Astyanax mexicanus: one gene and its partners. The protein of the gene in region 1 purifies or fractionates together with the protein of each later gene. This does not show direct contact. Links are inferred from orthologs where the notes say so. Each region holds a gene or a part of one and is shown in the gene's direction. Other genes may lie near its edges.

Region 1 (7,842 bases):
ATGGACTCTATTCACAGACGTTAGAATGAGGAGGAACAATGTATATGCACACATACATTAATTTAAAGTCACATGAGTCAGTTGAACCATGTGAGTCACATGACCATTAGCTAATGGAACGGGTAGCAACAGATTACATACTGGGCATTAATGGCCAAATGCCCCTCTTTCCCATCTATATAGTATAATACACTCTAAGTATCTACTTACTGATAGTCTGTGTGCTATACAGGACATGTCTCTGTGGATGGCAGTATGAAAGCAGTCTTTAGTAGTAGTTAGTGTCCGTCTTATTTTATTTAACTCTGTAAACCTTAACATGATTTTATGTTTTTTTTTTATATAAAAACTAAAATAAAGAATGAATATTTATTGCACTTAATTATATAAAGCTACTGTTCTATTCAATTTCAGCCTTCTAGTGAAAAGAACACCAAGAAGCTCGGGATATCGTCCTGATTGTAAGTTCATTTCTATTAGATCTGAATGCATGTCGAATTTTTACTTTTAAGCTTCCTATGTAATCCACACAGGAAGGAAAACCCTTCTCTCGTGCTGTTAGACATGATACTCGCACACAAGCTTATGTATCAGTGCTTGAAGTGGTTATGCAATGCTTTTAGTAGGGTGGAAGATGATAAGCTCTTTAGGCCTGTCCTAGAAGCACAGATGTTCCTGTCCCTTGACCTCTGCTTTTAGCTTTAGAACTGAAGTGGTGGTAGTCTATTATCATTGTCCCCTCGCTTACCTGTTATCGTACACTTCATTATGTGAAGCTGCTTTTGTTTGAGCAAATGATGATACCGTGATGTAACTTTTATTATTTTAAATGTTACACAGTGTATCCATAATCCAATTACGTTTGGGACAAAAATGTATTTTCCTTTGATTAAAGTACATATTCCAAACGGCAAATGCATTCATCGTTATATTTGGGGAAATTTGGTTTAATTGTGTTTTTATTGCTTTATTAATGCATAAACATAACATAACATATTTAATTGTAAGAAGTCTGACGGTACCTTAAATGTGTCATTGCCATTGTTCTATATGATATAAAAATAACAAAAAAATAGCTTTTCGAGTAAATGTATAAGAAATATTGATTGGGATAAAAAAAAAAAAACAAGATTGTTGATTGGCTTATTTTGGCAAAAGGGACTGGTAGGCCAAGGAAAACAGTGCTGCTGATGGAAGTAGAATTTTACTATTAAGAAAATCCTCTATTGTCTGTCCGATAAATCAGAAGAGCCTTCAGGAGTTTGGTGTGCATTTGTCATTGACTGCTCTTTGCTAAAAATCTTGGAAAAAACCCAAACACATAATTATAGTGACTGCAAGAGTTGAGTGTGGAGACAAAAACTACCCACAATCCAAAACATTCCACCTCATGGTGGTGGGATGTCATGGCTTGGGCATATATGCCTGATACAGGTACTGACACATGTATAGGTGAGGCCTTATCCTACAGCAGGTTAATAACACAAACATACCTTTAAGGCATCACAGATATTTTAAGAGTTAAAGAAATAAAAATGTATTGCCAGTCACCTGATTTAAATTCAATCAATCGTGTTCCATATGGTGATGAGAGTTACAACACCCCCAGACAAACAAAAGAGCCTCACAAGAGACCTGGCAATGCATTACTAGAGAAGATGCTTCTTTCATGTACTTATCACTGATCTGTCCCAAATATTATGGTGCCGTGAAAGGAGGGGGCTGTTATAATTTCAGTATTTTAAAAAATAAATGTATGCAAAACCCTTAAAGTTTGGGATGTGAATGTTAATTATATTTGATTTTGGTATTTTAAGATGTGAGGAGCATATCAAGGGAATATACAGCTCTGAAAATAATGAGACCTTCAGTTTTTCTTCTATAAACCACAGAAACATTTCTCCCAAATTCCAAAAAAAAAATATTGTAATTTTAGAGCATTTATTTGCAGAAAATGAGAAATGGCTGAAATAACAAAAAAGATGCAGAGCTTCCAGACCTCAAATAATGCAAAGAAAACAAGTTCATATTCATAAAGTTTAAAGAGTTCAGAAAACAAAATATTTGGTGGAGTAACCCTGGTTTATAATCACAGATTTCATGCATCTTGGCATGTTCTCCTCCACCAGTCTTACACACTACTTTTGGATAACTTTATGCCACTCTTGGTGCAAAAATTCAAGCAGTTTAGCTTGGTTTGGTGGCTTGTGATCATCTTCCTTTTAATTACATTCCAAAGGTTTTCAGTTTGGTAAAATCAAAGAAACTCATCATTTTTAGGTGGTCCTTTTTCCCCAGAGCTGCATATCCCCAAACATTATGGAGGTCTACCTACCTACCTACCTGCACACTGACTTAATGCTTTTTTTTTTGTATTTCACTTTTTCCTCCTAGACATCGGGTTTGAGGTTCCTGACAAGTTCCTGGTGGGCTATGCTTTAGACTACAATGAATATTTCAGGGACCTTAGTGTAAGTATATGTAAGCATTGTGTCAATACATGACATGCACATATTAATTATAAATGTTTTCTGGAATAATTATTGCCTTTTTTATACCTAGCACATCTGTATACTAAGTGACAGAGCAAAAGAGAAGTATAAAGTATGAAAAGAATCCAAAGTGCTGGATGACTGAAGACAGAGAACCACTGTGACTCCTCCATGCTGGTTTGGTTATGAAGAATTATTTTTCTACATCCTACATGTTTTATTAAAGGAATGTGAACTCATGCAATGCAGATCCAATTAAGAAATGACCTCTCATGGTGCTGGAGAGAAACAGAACGCCTGGAATACAAGTTATGGTTTTGTTCAGAATGAATAGGCCTAGTTTTGTTTTGTTTTGTTTTAATAGGTTATAAATATCACAACTATCATCGTCCTAGATGTTGTTTTATGTATCTTTTTATTTATTATTTTGATGGAGGCCTTAGATGTACTTGAACATTTTGTGTTATAAATGGCACTTTTTCTGTGACGTGGCTGTCTCAGACTTTTAGGTCCAGAGACAGAATGAAAAGTAAGACATTTATTTGGAGTTACTAAGGCGGTGCATGACTGTACAATTTGTTGTGATATATAATAATAAATATGTACAGTGTTTTAATCATGTACTGACATAAAGAATGTAAAACTGTGTGTTGTGTGTGATGCTGGGATGTTTTGGTATTGCCACCAAGCTTTCCTGAATTACTGCAATAAAATAACACCAATGTATGTTGTTGTTGGCTTCGTTATTTTAATAATGAAAATATAGAAAAATGTTCTAAATGTGATGTGATTTTTGTTTCTTTTATCCAGAAATATAGTATGAATGCAACATTTTCAGACCAGGCCATAAGTAACACCTTATTAATGCAGTTCCTAATGTCAAACTTGGTGTTTTTTTCTGTGACAGGAATTGAGAGACAAGCCAGACTAGAAGGGAAAGATGGAGGCAGAATAAAAATAGAACATACCCAAAGAAAAACTGTGACTGTCCTGCAAGGACCCAGCCATTGCCCTGAATCTGAAGCCAGTAATGCATCTATAAAGGGATCTGACAATGTTTCTGCACGATCAATCCCAATTCAGAAAATAAACCTTATGTCTTATTTTTATATATATATATATATATATATATTTTTTTTTTTTCCCAGACATGATAATATTTAATTGTTTAAAAGGTAAATTTATTTTTTGTTTCTAATGGCTTATTTGAGTAGCGCTGCATAGTAACCCATACCACGAATTGAACCCCAGTCTCCCACATGATGTGGTAGCTTACTAGTTCACAGGGACTGGTTATATCCACTGTGCCAGGCCAAAACTACAGGTTGTAAAGCAGCCAAAACACCAAACAGCGTATCCTAAAGCTGCGGTACACACAGTATAACCTCAAGCAATTGGCACAGCTGAATACAACAGCTCACCAAATAACACAATCTAAAAAAAAAACAAAAAAAGAAACAGGAGGCTTAAGGCTCACACTAGTGAAACACCAGCTGGCTCTTTAGAACAGTCAGCACAACAAACCAATTGGCACATCTTAAAGCCACAGCCCACCAACCAGCATTTTGGGATGTTATGAAAGTTAAAATTTTGATCTATTTTATTATATTCATTTTTTCATTTAATCTCAATTCAAATGTTTTAAGATAGAAAAGGAGCTTGCTATTTTACTATATGTATACAAATTACAAATGTATTTGCTTTTTATTTATTACTGTTAATATATTCTGATTTTTGTTCTTCAAATCGACATATATCATTTAAATTAGATAATACTATTGTATATTAAATAAATAATCATTCATTTAACCTCAATATTCAAAAAGTCTACTAAAATAAGCCACGTCCCATGCACTGACATCTGGCAAAAGCACAAACAGATTACATAGTAAAAACACGTGACTGTGAACGTGATTGGTCAGTGGTGAGAATTTTACTATAAAATAAAAAATTAAATTAAATACTTCTTATTTATAAAGACATAGTTCTGTAGCCTTATTACTGAGTTTTATTGATACCTTTTGAATACCTCTGAATTTAGTCAGTAAAATATCTCCACAAAGCAAGCTAAAAAGGCCCTGTTACCTGTTTTCTGTTTTTTTTTTAAATCAATCTTTTAAAATTCTGACTGTTCTGCTGTATGATAAACTATCCTCTTAAACCATTGCTAATTTTTAAACAGCTATAATAACTATCATATGTTTTTTTTTCTGTGTTTCCTGAAAAACTTGTGAAAATAAATAAGATGGATTTATTTATTTTTTTAGAAAGGCGTCGATTTACTTTACTGTGTTTTTGGCTCATCGCTGCCTACAAATCCCAGAAGTCCTTGCGCTGTACGTCACGGTGTTGTTGCGGAAGTGTCAGTGCAGTGGTGGAGAGTGCTGCTGTGGGTCTGCTGCTGGTGGTGGAGTGGAGCTGTTCTGACTGAGAGACACAGAAGCGGCTGAATTAGAAACTCTTACAGGAGAACCGCACAGCGCAATGGCTGCTCTTAAATACGCGGGAATGGACGATACTGACAGCGAGGACGAGCTGCCCCCCGGCTGGGAGGAGAGATCCACCAAGGATGGCTGGGTTTATTATGCCAAGTAAGTTAATGAACCTGGTTATACACTAGTTTAGACTGAAGACTCACTTCATTCCTGCTCAGAACTCAGTATCAGTATCACTGTGTTTCACACTCCTGCATCTTCTGAATCAGTAGATGAAGTGTGTGAGGTGTTCTGGGTAGGCTGACTGCAGTACTGTTTAAAACACTGTTTACACTGTATGAGTTTCACTATAGATTCATAGAGTATGTATTAATTTACCTACCCAGTATACAGTCTGTCAGACCACTTCATACTGGAAAACATCAGAAACCAGTAGGGATGATATTGGAATTATTCCAGTATCGACCGATAATGACTTTTTTTTTTTTTTTTTTTAGAATCATTGGTATTGACCGGTCTGGCCGATATTTTATTTTCAGTATCTTCTGACAGATTTTTATTATACCAGAAAAGGATCAACCAATGCTGAGCACTGCCCACATTACATTCAAATTCATTTATTTAAGCAATTTTTTTAAATCTTATTTTTTTTTTGCTCCCGAGTCATTTGTTTTTGAGTATCTGCTGATACAGAGTCATAATCCAATACTTTGGAAACGCAGTTAAAAAGAAAGAACACATCCAAGTTGTCCCTTAAGGTATATTTTTATTATTATTATTATTATTATTATTATTTTATAATTTTATTTCTACCCACTCACTAGGACTCCCCCTATCACTAGTAATGCCCCAACACACCAGAAGGGTGAAGACTAGCACACGCGTCCTCCAAAAAATGTGAAGTCAGCCACCACTTCTTTTCAAGCTGCTGCTAATGCAGCATAGCCGATTAGCGTCACAGCGCGCTCGGAGGAAAGCACAGCGATTTGGTTCTGATACATCAGCTCACAGACGCCCTGTGCTGCGGACATCACCCTAGGAGTGATGTGGGGAGAGAGTGCCATCTACCCACACAGAGGGAGCAGGGCCAATTTTGCTCCCTCTGAGTGCTGGAAGCTTGATGGCAAAGCTGCATGAGCTGGGGTTTGAACCTGCGACCTCCCGCTCATAGTGGCAGCGTTTTAGACCGCTGGACCACTCTGCGCCCCATGTTTATTAATTTTTAATTATTTTTGAAACAACGGTAATAAAACAGCCAAACACATGTCACACAACAACAACAACTCTGTGATTAATCATATTCAAGATCATGATAAAAAAAATGTAATGTTGGTAGTTCTGACAGAGAAAGAGAGCGAGCGAGAGAAAGAAAGAGAGAGTGTTCACAAAAACACAACAGACAACAGACTTTTTATTGCTTTTAATAGGTCTATTGTTTTATTTACGATGTTCATTCAAAAAGAGGATTTAAATATGTGGCCAGTCTATGTAAGAACTGGTTAACTAAGTAAATATCAAACCAAAAAAATATGAAAACTAATTTTTCATGCATACAGTTAATTGAAAGCTAAAGTGTAAGGTATATAAATGTTACATTTATTTCTAAAGTTATAACAGGATGTGTAGTTTCTCTGTAAACTCTTAATTTGTGTATCATTACTTGCAGATATGTATATGCAAGATTTCAGCATCGACCCATAATTGCCACATTGGTGCAGCCCTACCAACCATACTGTTTTTTCTTTCAGTCATGAGGAGATGAAAACACAGTGGGAGCATCCTAAAACTGGAAAGAAGAAACGCTGTGCTGGAGGTCAGAATTTAAAGCTGGATTCTTCCTATTTTTAAGATTTCTCATTAGTTCTTTAGGAAAAGATTAGAATAAAGTCTGAATGTTTTTACCAGAAAGTGTGAATTAAAGTTAATTAAAGGAAGCAATTTGCTTACTGTACAAACTTACCACCAAACCTTATTTCTTATTATTTCATATATGTATCATTTTATAAGGAAGGTCAATGTGAAAAAAGTTTTTTTTATTTTAGCATTTAAAAATATTCTTGGCAATAAGACTTTTTTATTATTAATTTCAAGAATATATTCCTGCAACAAAATAAATGGTGTTTTTTTTCAGCTGAATGTTTGAAACAATCATACAAAAAAAATAGTAGTTCTTGCCATAATATGGATAAGAATACCAATTCTACCTCTTCAAAACACAACTGATGCTCTTAAACACATTAAGAACTTCAAGTAATTAAGTCTTTACAAGTTCAGCACAGCTGTTAACTGAAAGCGATTACAGGTGTCTCTACCTCATACATCTAAAGGAGAAAATCCAGCCAAGATTTTCAAATCTGTTATCTAAGCAAGAAGTGGTACTTTGAAGAATCTTAAATTTAAAACATATTATGGCTTACCAGAACTCTGAGTGTTCCTCAGTGTAACCGCGACTAGCGCTGCTGCTAACTGCGGCTAGTGCTGCTGCTGAAAATTAAGTAATTGGAATTGCTTTACTCATTCAAATATTCAGTTTTCAGGAGAGAAACCTGTGTAGTTTAACAACATAGCGACACCTTTGTTCCTTACTATTGTCGCTTTATATGCGCCTTCTAATCCGGTGCACCTAAGGTATAAAAATAGACCAGAAAATAGACGTTGATTAATCGTGCGCTTTATAATTCGGTGCACCTTAGTGCGGTGTTTAATGTACTTATATTGTGTAATGTTCTTTTTAAAAGCATTACAGCCCTCAGACATACTTTCAGGTTTCTTTAACCACTATTCTAGACAACGTTTAGATTCTGAGTCCCTAAGATGAAGAAATTTTTATTTGCGTAAAAGACTTTGATTACGTCCTATTGATTAAGTTACACAGATGCTTTTAAAATATAAGAGAATTCCCAATTAAATCCAGT
Region 2 (7,096 bases), on another chromosome or scaffold:
ACAATACATACAACACATTCTTACAGAAAGTTGTGGTGTTACATCACTGTGTTCATTAAAACATATCCAAAATACTTTTTTGGTACTATTATTTATGCATCATATATGAATATATCAACAGCTGGTTTGGTAGATCAGTGCTTAATGGTGTTAAATCTGGTAAGCTGGTGCTGGAATTAAACACTCACTGAAGCACTGACTGGGGATGTCCAGCAGAAATCTGGACCATAGATTTGTTCTTCAGACTAAATAACAAGATCTCACCTACTTTCTTTAAAATGAGAAATTCTTGTTACTGTACTGCATTTGTGTTTACCTGTACATGTTTTTTAATGTGATTTGAAGTTCTTATAAGTTATAACATTCTGATTACTGACTTAATAGTTCTAATTAATGTCTTTATATTCACAAAACCTGGACTGACTGAACCGCTGAACTTTCAGCTTGTCTAATTTAATTTGCCTGATCATACTTTTGAAGATCTGATGACGTTCTTTATTTGTGATTATATTTGTGACTTCATTTCATGGGTTTATGTAGGCTACCTAAATAAATCTTTCTGCTACATTTATCATAAGTAAGTCATTAAACTGGCTTATTTACTACAGTTATTTCCTACCAAATCTCATTTATAATATTTTTCAGTGTTTAGAGTAGTGTGCGCCGCCTGGCAATATGTTGGACTTATTAAGCACTGTCTCTGGGTCTGTAGAGAGCAGAAACACTGAGTTCAACTTTTATTGAATTAAATTTGAGTTTATCAGCTCATGAACCCCACTCTTTATGTGACATTGCATCTGATATAATGAAGCATCACTACAGACTCCTGAAATGATCTGTCTTCTGTTTACTAGTGGAAATGCTGGCAGTGTGAGGAGGCACAGTGTTATTTTGAGAAAACAAACTGATGGAAACGGGATGTTATTTTTTGCTGCCAGCACATTACTAGGATTTCTAGAGGATGTTTACATACAGTGCATTGCAGAGGTTCTAGGCACCTGTGGGAATTACGATAAAAAAGCCACAAGGGTTTATTTACTCTGTATGACACCATTATTAGAATAAATATTACTTTTACTAAATATCACTAAAATATTACTAAATATTACAATTAAAAATTCCAGCTGATATGGAAAATACAGTCCAAGAATTACATTATCCAAGAATACAGAAATTTGCCATTATGGCTTAAGAAGAGGTACAAACCTAACTTACGTTCAGGAATGCCATAGAATATATGGGTTCCAAAAAGAACTGTGCTTGTAATTGAGATGTGAATGATAATTATTTTATTCATTTCTATTTTTTCCTATTTTCTCCTAATTTAGCTAGACCAATGTTTCCACCCATTGTTTGCCACAACACAAGGAGAGTAAAGACAAAAACATGCCTCCTCCAACACGTGAAGTTAGCCACCGCCTCTTATCGAACTGCTGATGATGTAACATTTCCGAGTAGCATCACAGCAAGTTTGGAGAAAAGTGCAGTGACTCGGTTCCGATTCATCAGCTCACAGACGCCTTGTGGTGATGAGGAGAAAGAGTGCCATCTATTCACCCAGAAAGAGCAAGGCCAACTGTGCACTCTCAGGGCTTTGGCAGCTGATGGCAAGCTGCATGACCAGGATTCTCTTGGGATCCAGAGGTAGATGATGAAGCAGCATGACCCAGAATTTGAGCTCGCAATCCTCAGGCCATAGGGTCAGTTTCCCGGACAGGGATTAGGCCTAGTTGCAGCCTATATTTTCCTTTCCATGGAAAATCTCCTTTTATTTTGCAAATCATGTGGCATTTGAGTCATGTATATTTCATACAAAATGAATATTACTGAGAACTACTATGGAAGAACCTTTTTAATTCAAATTTAAAGATACTTCAGTCTACCGGACCAGCAGAGGATTTTGCACAGATTGCCTCTGGCAGGCCTCAGACCCTCCATCAGGTCAGATTACTTCATACACAGGATGCAGACGCAGAAGCAGGTTTCATGGCCAGTCTATCACGCACACAGTGAGGATGGCAACAGTGAGTTTCAGATTTAATGGCAGCAAAACAATGCCACTGAAAAAGAAAAGGCTGGGTCTAATTATTGAAAAAAAAAAACACCAAATGATCTCCTCTTATAAGGCTTTCTGGAGTTATTCCAAAAATAATAATACCACCAAACAACAGAGAGATATTCTCTCTCTCACTCACCAACTCTCTCTCTGTATCTCTCACTCTCTCTCTCTCTCTCTCTCTCTGCTCCATGACTGCTGTTGCCATAGTTCTACAGACAGGTAAATACTCTGGGGAGTCATGATATTACATTATGATAGCCTGACAGTTATAAGCTCATAGCCTGATATCCACAGCGGGGGTGTTGATCTCACTGAATGTTCACTATAGAGGAGTCAGATTACAATCATCTTGCCTGGTGTTCGAGATATTATTTGGTCTGGTTTAAAGAAATTGTTTAAGAAATATACAGGCTTTGATTTCCTTTATGGTGGTTGAGACAGGAACACTACCACCATGAACATTTTTGTCATTATTGTCTTCATACACTTTTAGAGAACAGCACATTTCACACCAACCCCCCTTAATTTAGTATGTTTACATGTTTAAATGCCCTTTGTGCAGGGATTTAGACAAATCTGTGGAATTCCCCTTTAGCAGTACATATAATACACCTGACTGATGTTCACTCTAATGTTATACAGCTTCACATATTGGATAGCAAATGCCAGCTATATTTACATAGCAGATATTGTGACACTGGGTTCTTAATCTTATCGTTTCACATCAAATCCTTCGAAGGACTGCGAAAATCCCCTGTAATTAACAGGTTTATCTGGGAATCTGTGCTGAACATTAACCCTTCAGGACCACAATTGAGCAAATTCATTATATTCAGAAACACTTGCCCCAGAGTAGTTTTATGACAACAACCCTCATATTTCTCACCTTAGGCAGAAAATGTTCTCAATATTATCAAAACCAATATGACTTTTATATTTGCCATATTTTGAGACAGACTTGTATGTCATTTTTTATGTGTTTCTTCATTATTTAAGTAAATTTAAGTAAATAGTATTATAATTAGTAAATTTGCATTAAATACTGCTAACTGTGATGGTTTTTGTCCCCATATTTCTCACCTTATGCATAAAATGTTATCAATATTATCAAACCCAATATGACTTTTATTTTTGACAATCATTCTGGCTTATGAGTCAACTACAAAATGACACATAAGCACAGCATATTTACAAAAATGGGTAATGGGAAATTTAATGGACAGCATCCATAAAACTCAAACAAACTAAACTGCACTACTCTGCAGTTACTGCTGCTGCATGCTTGTCTATACTGTATAATTAAGTATGTAATATACTTAATATATAGCTGAAAGCATGTAGAACCTTCCTGATTCTGTATATTTAGTACATTTTGTATTATTCTGTATATTACTGTATATTAGAATGTATTGTTTGTTCTATTTAGTGAATAAGGTGCTACAACTTCCATTAAAACTTTAATTTAAAGCAAGGTATAAACATTTGTGTTAAACATAATGTGACTACATTCAACTACAGCATACTTCAAATAAACATTCTGTTTATAATGATTTGTTTTATAATGATGATCACTTGTGTATTGATTAGTCTTCTTCAATTAATGTTCTCAATTATTGTTATTATTTGTCAGTTTGTTGTTTCTTGCATGTTGGATCGAAGAATAATTAAGTCTGTAGCTACCAATAACTTAGATTTTGTTATTTGTATGCTTGTTTGTTGAATACATAAATAAAGATAATAAAACACAGCAGGGATATCCCGCATGCGCTTTTCACTTCCCACCCGTATTACGTTAGGTCCCGCCTTACCGCGCTGGGATTGGCTAGTAGGATTCCGCGCTCGGTGCTCTACGATTGGCGAACAGCTTAAACTGACACGCATTCTGTCCAATCTTTAAATTTCTTGCGAGAAAAGTGCAGCTAGCCAATCAAAAGGGCGAGAGGCGGGACTTGTACGAAAACGGGTAGGGGAAAAACACCCGACGCTATTAGCATTGACAGTACGGGCTAAGCTGCTACGGATACGCGGATGTTAGCTACAGTAACCGCCGCCGCCGCTTTGTGTACAGAGAGAAAGAGGGCATGTAGTGAGAGAACGGACGGGAGGACTGCGATGGAGCCGTGCTCGTGACAGAAATCTCTCCAGGTTGTGCCAAAAGAAGGGAAGAAGCGAGTTAAGATGAAGAGCCGTCGCGGAGTGGGTGTTCTCCTAACGGTCTGGGTGCTGCTGGTGGAGGTGAGTGGGCTGTTATTCAGGAGAGACTCGGAGAGATTGAGAGAGAGGAGGTCCTGCTTTAGGAGGCGCTGAACACAAAAACACACTGTGTTATTTATTTACACTTACAGAGGAGTAGCCTGACTCCTGTCTGCCTCACTTTCCTGTCTTTCTGACTGAGCTGGAGTGCTGTAAAATGCCGCATATGTCCGAATAACCTCCAGTGCTGCTGTTTAAATGTACAGTGTGTGAGTGTCGCAATTAGGAATAATAATAAGCCTGTGTCTCGGGGTCCGTGTTCAATCAACCATAAACAAGAGCACGCCACCACTACAGCTACTTCTATTATTTAATACTGCTGCTATTTCTGTTTAGCCCCAGGACACCGGAGTTCATGCCTTCATATGAACCTGACACTGTAGCTGTAGTCATAGTTGATTGGTTAACCTATACACAGCTCTGGTAAAAAAAAAAAAAAAAAAAAAAAAGAGATCACTTAACAATGATGAGTTACTCTGATTTTACAAAATTAAAAACCTCTGGAAAATAAACAAGAGGAAGATGGATGATCACAAGGCATCAAACCAAGCTGAACTGCTTGAATTTTTGCACCAGGAGTGGCATAAAGATATCCAAAAGCAGTGTGTAAGACTGGTGGTGGAGAACATGCCAAGATGCATGAAACTGTGATTAAAAACCAGGGTTATTCCACCAAATTTTGTTTTCTGAAATCTTAAAACTTTAAGAATATGAACTTGTTTTCTTTGCATTATTTGAGGTCTGAAAGCTCTGCGTCTTTTTTGTTATTTCAGCCATTTCTCATTTTCTGCAAACAAATGCTCTAAAAGACAATATTTGTTTTGTAATTTGGGAAAAGTGTTGTTTATAACCTATAAATAGCAAAATCAGAGGAACTGATTCAGAAACTAGGGTGGTCTCAATTTTTTACAGAGCTGTATATGTATATATATTGTTTGCAAAGGTTTCATTATGACAGTAAAAATAAGGATAAGGATAAGGACACATACAATGTAGCTCAGTTTTACATACTGTAAATACAGTATAGTAATGAATTACAGTTTCTTGTTTGTTGTATCCTACATTCCTACATTGAAAAGTTACTTTGTTTCAGTATTTCAGTTTATTTTGTGAAACTCATATATTATGCAGACGTTTTACACACTGAGTGATCTATTTAAATTATTTATTTATTTTACTGTTGATGATTATGGTTTACAGCTAATTAAAACCCAAACATCAGTGTCTCAGAAAATTTGATTATTATACAAGACCAATTGGTACTTTTGGCAGTGTGGGCAGTGTGCCAAGACCTGCTGGAAAATGAAATTTGCATCTTTGGAAAAGTTGTCAGCAGAGAGAAGCATGAAGTGCTGTAAGATTGTCTGGGAAAACACTGTACTGACTGGACACAGTGGACCAACACAATCAGATGACATGACTCTTCAAAGCATCACTGATCATCAGTAAATGTTGCATTTCATTTAGCAATCAAGGGAGCAGAGTCTGGAGGAAGAGTGGAGAGACACACAGTTCAAGCTGCTTCAGGTCTAGTGTGATGTTTCCACAATTAGTGATGGTTTGAGTTAGGGTTAAGTAGAGATGGGACCGATCCGATACAATATCGGTATCGGGGCCGATATTGACGTAATTCGACATATCGGATATCGGGCGAGCGCGTCCGATCCACTTACCGATCCATATTCCAGTCCACAGCTTGAGCTGGACAGTAAACCCGCCGTAACGTTAACACGAAACACATCACTGATCCGGATTCCAGTTCCACAGTTTACCCTGAACATCCAGCAGCTTCAGTCTGCAGCTGACTGAGTAAACATTAGCTATTTGTCTACAATAAAAATTCAATTATCTGGAGAGTTTTAACTTTGAAAATGCTGTACAGCAGAACGGTACACGTAAAGTCAGCGTCCAAATAAACAGATTAACACCAGCAGTCTGTTAGCCTAGCTAGCACTGAACTGACAGCAAATTATATTTATAATTCACATATCCTATAAAAACACAGGATCTACAAACACTAACCAGCACAAACACACCAGTTAGCCGTTAGCAAATGCATTCCGGCATTGTGAATGTAATAAATAACTATATTAAGTGAACTACAGCCATAATCCACATCTAATATCAAACCACAGATCCTACCAACCCTAACCAGCACTAAGAAATCAATCAGTTATTAAAAAACAGTGATTAATTCAGCTCGGAAATACAGTTAGCACCACCGGTTAGCCATTAGCTATTGCAGCTAATCCTCTATGCTACTTGTCAAAATAAAAGTCTCCTGCGCAACCGTAGCAAAACAATGCCCTGAATTTATTATTTAGCGTATTTAATATTTACCTTTTTTTAATATTTAATAAAAATTAAATCATTTAACTTGAAAGGAAACTACTGTGTATTTGCATATAAAGTATGCAGTATAAAGTATAAATAAATGACTTTTGAATGCATTTACATTAAATGCACTTGAGTATACTCTTCAAAGGGCTGTGTGGTCTGTTTCAGCCTCATTATGAAACCTTAATCATAGTACTATTAATAAACTAAAAGTATCAGTATTTGTATCGGTATCGGCAATTTTATCAGTTTTGTATCGGTATCGGATCGGAGCTGAAAAAAGCGTATTGTCCCATCACTAGGGTTAAGGTTAGACTGGGGATCTTGCATGTTGAAACTGGTGGTCGATTTGGATTACGCAACCGCAACTTAACTCTAGCAAGACTCTCATGATTTTATCCCGACAGTGGAAATTTATCTGCGACAATGAAATCTTGAAAATCGTTT
Region 3 (7,385 bases), on another chromosome or scaffold:
AGACAAGGAATAAAGAAAGAAAGAAGCGAATAAAAAAAAGAAATAATAATAGGTATATGCTTCTTCAGCGTCGCAAGGTTATTTAACATAATTCTTAACAGATTTCGCTAATTCAAACAGCCCGAAAATGTTTTAAATAGCTCAATTTTAACGCTCTAATTACTAAAAAATGGCTCGGGTTCAGAAGGACAGTTTATGGCTCAGGTCGGGTCTGGCTCAAGCAGAAAGTGCATGGATTTGGGCCGGGTCGGGCTGGATTTTTGGGCCCGATCTAAGCTCTACCGCTCCACACACTGCAGGCGTTTTGCACTGCGGTCAAGCCAGCCCCCACTTCAAAACGCTTGGTCAAACTAGCCCCCACGCTGTTTCTTAGAGCGCGCATACACTGAACATTGCGGCAAGCGTGAGAAGGAACACATTTCAAAATAAAAGTCCCCCCCTTAATATCACGACATTATGCTGTGGAGTGGTATTAAAAGGAATCCACATAATATCACATGTTATGTCTGATATCACATGTCAATTTCATGTAGTCCTGGTAGTACACAAAATAAAAGCCCTGTAAATTATAACAATTATGTTAATTAAATAATACTAATACTAATAATAATAATACTAACAATACTACTACTAATAATAATAATACTTGTATGTGTCACTCACTTAATAGCAGGGCATTATAATGTGTCATTTCAAAATAAAGGCCATTTAAATTGTAACATTTATGTAATTTTACACAATGTTTAGACTGTTATTAAAAGAAATCTGTCTGATATCACAGCTCAATTTCATATAGTCCTGATAGTACACTCCTTGTATGTTTCACTCACTTAATATCAGAAGATTTTGATGTGTCATTTCAAAATAAAGGCCCTTTAAATTATAACATTTATGTAATTTTACACAATATTTAGACTGTTCTTAAAATAAATCTGTCTGATATCACAGTTCAATTTCATATAGTCCTGATAGTACACTACTTGTATGTGTCACTCACTTAATAACAGAACATTTTGATGTGTCATTTCAAAATAAAGGCCCTTTAAATTGTAACATTTATGTAATTTTACACAATATTTAGACTGTTATTAAAAGAAATCTGTCTGATATCACAGTTCAATTTTATATAGTCCTGATAGTACACTACTTGTATGTTTAACTCAATTACTATCAGAACATTTTGATGTGTCATTTTAAAATAAAAGCCCTTTAAATTGTAACATTTATGTAATTTTACACAATGTTTAGACTGTTATTAAAAGAAATCTGTCTGATATCACAGTTCAATTCCATATAGTCCTGATAGAACACTACTTGTATGTTTCACTCACTTAAAATCAGAACATTTTGATGTGTCATTTCAAAATAAGGGCCATTTAAATTGTAACATTTATGTAATTTTACACAATGTTTAGACTGTTATTAAAAGAAATCTGTCTGATATCACAGTTCAATTTCATATAGTCCTGATAGTACACTACTTATATGTTTCACTCACTTAAAATCAGAACATTTTGATGTGTCATTTCAAAATAAGGGCCATTTAAATTGTAACATTTATGTAATTTTACACAATGTTTAGACTGTTATTAAAAGAAATTTGTCTGATATCACAGGTCAATTTCAGATAGTCCTGATAGTACACTACTTGTATGTTTCACTCAATTACTATCAGAACATTTTGATGTGTCATTTTTAAATAAAGGCCCTTTAAATTATAACATTTATGTAATTTTACACAATATTTAGACTGTTCTTAAAATAAATCTGTCTGATATCACAGTTCAATTTCATATAGTCCTGATAGTACACTACTTGTATGTGTCACTCACTTAATAACAGAACATTTTGATGTGTCATTTCAAAATAAAGGCCCTTTAAATTGTAACATTTATGTAATTTTATACAATGTTTAGACTGTTATTAAAAGAAGTCTGTCTGATATCACAGTTCAATTTCATATAGTCCTGATAGTACACTACTTGTATGTTTCACTCAATTACTATCAGAACATTTTGATGTGTCATCTTAAAATAAAAGCCCTTTAAATTGTAACATTTATGTAATTTTACACAATGTTTAGACTGTTATTAAAAGAAATCTGTCTGATATCACAGTTCAATTTCATATAGTCCTGATAGTACACTACTTGTATGTTTCACTCACTTAAAATCAGAACATTTTGATGTGTCATTTCAAAACAAAGGCCCTTTAAATTATAACAATATTTTATTTCAACACAATGTTTAGACTGTTATTAAAAGAAATCTGTCTGATATCACAGGTCAATATCATATAGTCCTGATAGTACACTACTTGTATGTGTCACTCACTTAATAACATAACATTTTGATGTGTCATTTCAAAATAAAGGCCTTTTAAATTATAACAATATTTTTATTTTAACACAAGTTTTGACTGTTATTAAAATGAATCTGTGTGATATCACAGGTCAATTTCATATTTCATTTCATAATTTAAAGGGCCTTTATTTTGAAATGACATATCAAAATGTTCTGATATTAAGTGAGTGAAACATACAAGTAGTGTACTATCAGGACTATATGAAATTGAACTGTGATATCAGACAGATTTCTTTTAATAACAGTCTAAACATTGTGTAAAATTACATAAATGTTACAATTTAAAGGGCCTTTATTTTGAAATGACACATCAAAATGTTCTGTTATTAAGTGAGTGACACATTCAAGTAGTGTACTATCAGGACTATATGAAATTGAACTGTGATATCAGACAGATTTATTTTAAGAACAGTCTAAATATTGTGTAAAATTACATAAATGTTATAATTTAAAGGGCCTTTATTTTGAAATGACACATCAAAATGTTCTGATATTAAGTGAGTGAAACATACAAGTAGTGTACTATCAGGACTATATGAAATTGAACTGTGATATCAGACAGATTTCTTTTAATAACAGTCTAAACATTGTGTAAAATTACATAAATGTTACAATTTAAATGGCCCTTATTTTGAAATGACACATCAAAATGTTCTGATTTTAAGTGAGTGAAACATACAAGTAGTGTACTATCAGGACTATATGAAATTGAACTGTGATATCAGACAGATTTCTTTTAATAACAGTCTAAACATTGTGTAAAATTACATATGTTACAATTTAAAGGGCTTTTATTTTAAAATGACACATCAAAATGTTCTGATAGTAATTGAGTGAAACATACAAGTAGTGTACTATCAGGACTATATGAAATTGAACTGTGATATCAGACAGATTTCTTTTAATAACAGTCTAAACATTGTGTAAAATTACATAAATGTTACAATTTAAAGGGCCTTTATTTTGAAATGACACATCAAAATGTTCTGTTATTAAGTGAGTGACACATACAAGTAGTGTACTATCAGGACTATATGAAATTGAACTGTGATATCAGACAGATTTATTTTAAGAACAGTCTAAATATTGTGTAAAATTACATAAATGTTATAATTTAAAGGGCCTTTATTTTGAAATGACATATCAAAATCTTCTGATATTAAGTGAGTGAAACATACAAGTAGTGTACTATCAGGACTATATGAAATTGACCCGTGATATCAGACAGATTTATTTTAATAACAGTCTAAACATTGTGTAAAATTACATAAATGTTACAATTTAAATGGCCCTTATTTTGAAATGACACATCAAAATGTTCTGATTTTAAGTGAGTGAAACATACAAGTGGTGTACTATCAGGGCTATATAAAATTGAGCTGTGATATCAGACAGATTCCTTTTAATAACAGTCTAAACATTGTGTAAAATTACATAAATGTTAAAATTTAAAGGGCCTTTATTTTGAAATGACACATTATAATGCCCTGCTATTAAGTGAGTGACACATACAAGTATTATTATTAGTAGTAGTAGTATTGTTAGTATTATTATTATTAGTATTATTATTATTTAATTAACATAATTGTTATAATTTACAGGGCTTTTATTTTGTGTACTACCAGGACTACATGAAATTGACATGTGATATCAGACATAACATGTGATATTATGTGGATTCCTTTTAATACCACTCCACAGCATAATGTCGTGATATTAAGGGGGGGACTTTTATTTTGAAATGTGTTCCTTCTCACACTTCTTAACACTTTATTACTAAATTATTTCATTTTAAAACGACTTTATGGTGTGTCCAGATTTTTGACTTGTACTCTATAATTTATATATTTTTTTATATTAAGGTGTGTGTTGCTGTTTTATAACTATAATATTCAACAATATGACTTTATATATTAAAAAACACAGCTCCACTGTTAAATAGATAATCCAATCCGATCAGAATCGATTCAGAAAGATTCGGAACCTTCAGGAAAGTTCCGTGTCCTTTAAAGACGCGCGCTGCGTCAGGGAGGGGCGGTACTCCGCGGGACGGTGCGGGCTGCGGGAGCTGCAGGTGCGGTTATCTCTAATCACCAGTATCGGAAACTGATCGATCAGATCCACCGATCAGCAGCAGAGAGATCTCCAACAGCGCGTGAATGAGAAGAACCCAGAATGACCCTGAATCAGAACCATTCCGAGTCCGGGGGAGTCATCATCAACAACAGCGAGAGGTACCGGTGTTCTGTCTGATTCTGCTACCTTGTTAAACCGTGTTCCCCTAGTGTATATTTACCTGTAAAAATACAAGAGAAGCACCATATTACAGCATGTTAAAAGCAGGAGTCCCAGTAGATGTAGTTACTATATTTGAAAAGCATAAATTACTGTGTCGTGGTAAAGTTCACTACTAACGTGTTTTTGTTTGTTTATAATTATATTAATACCATAATACAATAATAATTATTGCATTCAAATTTTATAATTTCCATTTACGCTTTTGTGCAATAACAGTGAGTCCAGGTTGTTTAATGCATTGAAAAACACGAGAAATAATCTAAAAGTATAGGTCAGCGCATGCGCAGTGCCTTTAGGAAGCACGTATCGACGGGTAGAATACCTCGACAAAACACCGGCCTTCGCGCTCACTCACAGCTCTCCTCTCCACCTTAAACACCAGCAGCCTCCGCGCGCTCACTCACAACTCTCCGTTCCACCAGCAGCCTCCGCGCGCTCACTCACAACTCTCCGTTCCACCTTAAACACCAGCAGCCTCCGCGCGCTCACTCACAACTCTCCGTTCCATCTTAAACACCGGCCTCCGCGCGCTCACTCACAGCACTCCGCACTCCTCCACAAATGACTTCGCTGTGAGGGGCTGGTATGATCAGCTGCACCGTTTAAGGTGGAACGGAGAGTTCGAAGATGATTATATTTAATCGTTGGTGTGACGGAGGATATTTGACACAGATTAAAAGCTCCAGTAAATGTTTACCTTCCGTCTGCACATCAACATTTATTAAAACAAACTTATTTAAACACTTTAAATAAACAAACAGCTAAAAAACGAGAGTAGATAGGCAGTGTCCACACAGCTACAGTTACCTGAGCTAAATAAAGATAATTCTAGGCCCTGTATAGACAATGCGTTCCATTAATTTAAACTTTTAGTTCTATTAATTTTGTTTTGTTCTATATATATATATATATATATATATATATATATATATATATATATATATATATATATATATATATATATATATATACTGCAAATAGAAAAAATGTGTTTATATATAACTTACTGCAAATAGAAAAAAATGTGTGTATGTATTTCTGTATATAAACTTCATTTCTACCTTTTCAAGATACATTCTGATAAATCATGTCATGTAGGATGAAACAGCCAAAATTTGAGTTAATTCTGTTAACAATATGAACAAAAACGCCACAAAACCAAATCGCTGTAAGTAATGTATAATAACATATCTCTATTAAAACATTTTCTATTGTGATATATAAATATTTATTTACCACATCAGTCATATGCAAAATTAAAAAGCCTGTTAGCAGTATGTGAAACACTGGTATTAGAATAAATACAAATAACATTCAGACAAACAGAAAGAGAGAGATGCCCATTCCCATCTTCACTGGGTCACAGAGTCACTAAGCTTCTTAAGTCTTCAGTGATGTAAGACTGTAAGACTGTGGACATTTACACAGTTCTTTGTGACTTTGTAGGTCTAATTTTAGATTTGCTCAGTGTGTTTTATCTTCTTGTCTTCATTTATTAAGTGTAAATCTGCTCTGTTGTGTAAAACAATCTCGCTCTACCAGCAGAGTAAAACACCACTGTTCTCCTTCACAGTGTTCTGATGTCCTATGAAAACGTGGAGCTGTCGTTCAGTGATGCTGATCGTTTACCAGAGCTGTTCAAGAAGAGCAAGAAGGGGAGCATCTATCTCACTCCGTACAGGGTGAGTCTGAAAAGAGATAAAAGATATTCTTTAACTAATCAGATGTCAGTTACCAGAGAACACTGAGACAAAGTCCAGTACCCGGTTGCATAAACACCATACGATTTTCACTTAAGTATAAAAAAATGGACAAAAGGGAATTACTTAAGTGTGTTACACAAAAACCCTCAGATATTTAATTAACTAGGAGTAAATAGATTTACTGCAGTGACTAATGTTTTACTGTGGTAAGTTCCACTTTAATCACAACAATGACTTATCAGCGATAATGAATGTTAACTTTGTGATTTTGGTGCTTTTAAAACCTCTTCAATGAATTATTCAACACCCCCCCCCCCCCGCTCACTCTTTCAGACGTGAACATGAAAACAATGATTTTTGCAATTGAGTTTACGCGTATATTATTCACATTTCTCATGGCTTGGGGTTGCTTTGCTACAGAGGATGGTCTGGCAAGCTTATCATAGGTGAATATGAATTATTTATTGTATCAGAGGTGGTTTGAAGAAAAATGTAAGACCATCCACACAAACTGTAGATAAAGCATCACATCGCTGAAAGAATTCTGCATAGAGGAGTGGGAGTCTGAATAGGTCTGTCCTGGGTAAATAAATTAGGTGAAAGTGTTTGCAGTCAGTAGTCTAATTATAATATTTTATTTTATTCCTTTAAATAGCTTCTCCAGAGCCTTTACAAAAGTTGTGCGGTCTGTTCTTCTATCAGGTAATCTTCGTGACAAAGGGGAAGGATGCTCTTCAGTCCTTCATGATGCCATTCTATCTAATGAAGGGCTGTGAAGTCAAACAGCCTGTTCTTGGAGCCAACTACATAAAGGGTGCGGTGAACGCTGAACCAGGGGGTAAGAACTTACTAAATCTGATTGGAGCATTAAGGTCATCAATAAGCTCTTCAGTGAATTGGATCAGCTTAAACTGGGGAGAAAATTGGTAAAAATGGAAAAAAATTAAATAGTGATGTCAGCTGATGTAGTCCTAGAGTTTAAGAAAACAACATTTACATGTTTCAGTAAAATGTAAAATGC

Evidence for each region.
Region 2: the proteins of wwox (region 1) and vopp1 purify together in Homo sapiens (affinity purification with mass spectrometry; 3 studies listed by BioGRID and IntAct, with this or other methods). This does not show direct contact. The link is inferred for Astyanax mexicanus from reciprocal best matches to the Homo sapiens genes WWOX and VOPP1.
Region 3: the proteins of wwox (region 1) and wbp2 purify together in Homo sapiens (affinity purification with mass spectrometry; 3 studies listed by BioGRID and IntAct, with this or other methods). This does not show direct contact. The link is inferred for Astyanax mexicanus from reciprocal best matches to the Homo sapiens genes WWOX and WBP2.

The regions. Positions count from the first base shown.
Region 1 is NC_064409.1:53,551,204-53,559,045, reverse strand, and holds the start of wwox (WW domain-containing oxidoreductase), read left to right. Parts: upstream 1-4,793; 5' UTR 4,794-4,976; coding exon 4,977-5,083; intron 5,084-6,675; coding exon 6,676-6,740; intron 6,741-7,842. Other genes in the region: hprt1l (hypoxanthine phosphoribosyltransferase 1, like), read left to right, coding at 415-461, 2,395-2,471, 2,563-2,610. UniProt on the Homo sapiens protein: Putative oxidoreductase. Acts as a tumor suppressor and plays a role in apoptosis. Required for normal bone development. May function synergistically with p53/TP53 to control genotoxic stress-induced cell death.
Region 2 is NC_064413.1:43,513,675-43,520,770, reverse strand, and holds the start of vopp1 (vesicular, overexpressed in cancer, prosurvival protein 1), read left to right. Parts: upstream 1-4,028; 5' UTR 4,029-4,237; coding exon 4,238-4,294; intron 4,295-7,096. UniProt on the Homo sapiens protein: Increases the transcriptional activity of NFKB1 by facilitating its nuclear translocation, DNA-binding and associated apoptotic response, when overexpressed. May sequester WWOX in lysosomal vesicles and thereby regulate WWOX role as tumor suppressor.
Region 3 is NC_064422.1:14,045,960-14,053,344, forward strand, and holds the start of wbp2 (WW domain-binding protein 2), read left to right. Parts: upstream 1-4,368; 5' UTR 4,369-4,538; coding exon 4,539-4,597; intron 4,598-6,234; coding exon 6,235-6,343; intron 6,344-7,066; coding exon 7,067-7,202; intron 7,203-7,385. UniProt on the Homo sapiens protein: Acts as a transcriptional coactivator of estrogen and progesterone receptors (ESR1 and PGR) upon hormone activation. In presence of estrogen, binds to ESR1-responsive promoters. Synergizes with YAP1 to enhance PGR activity.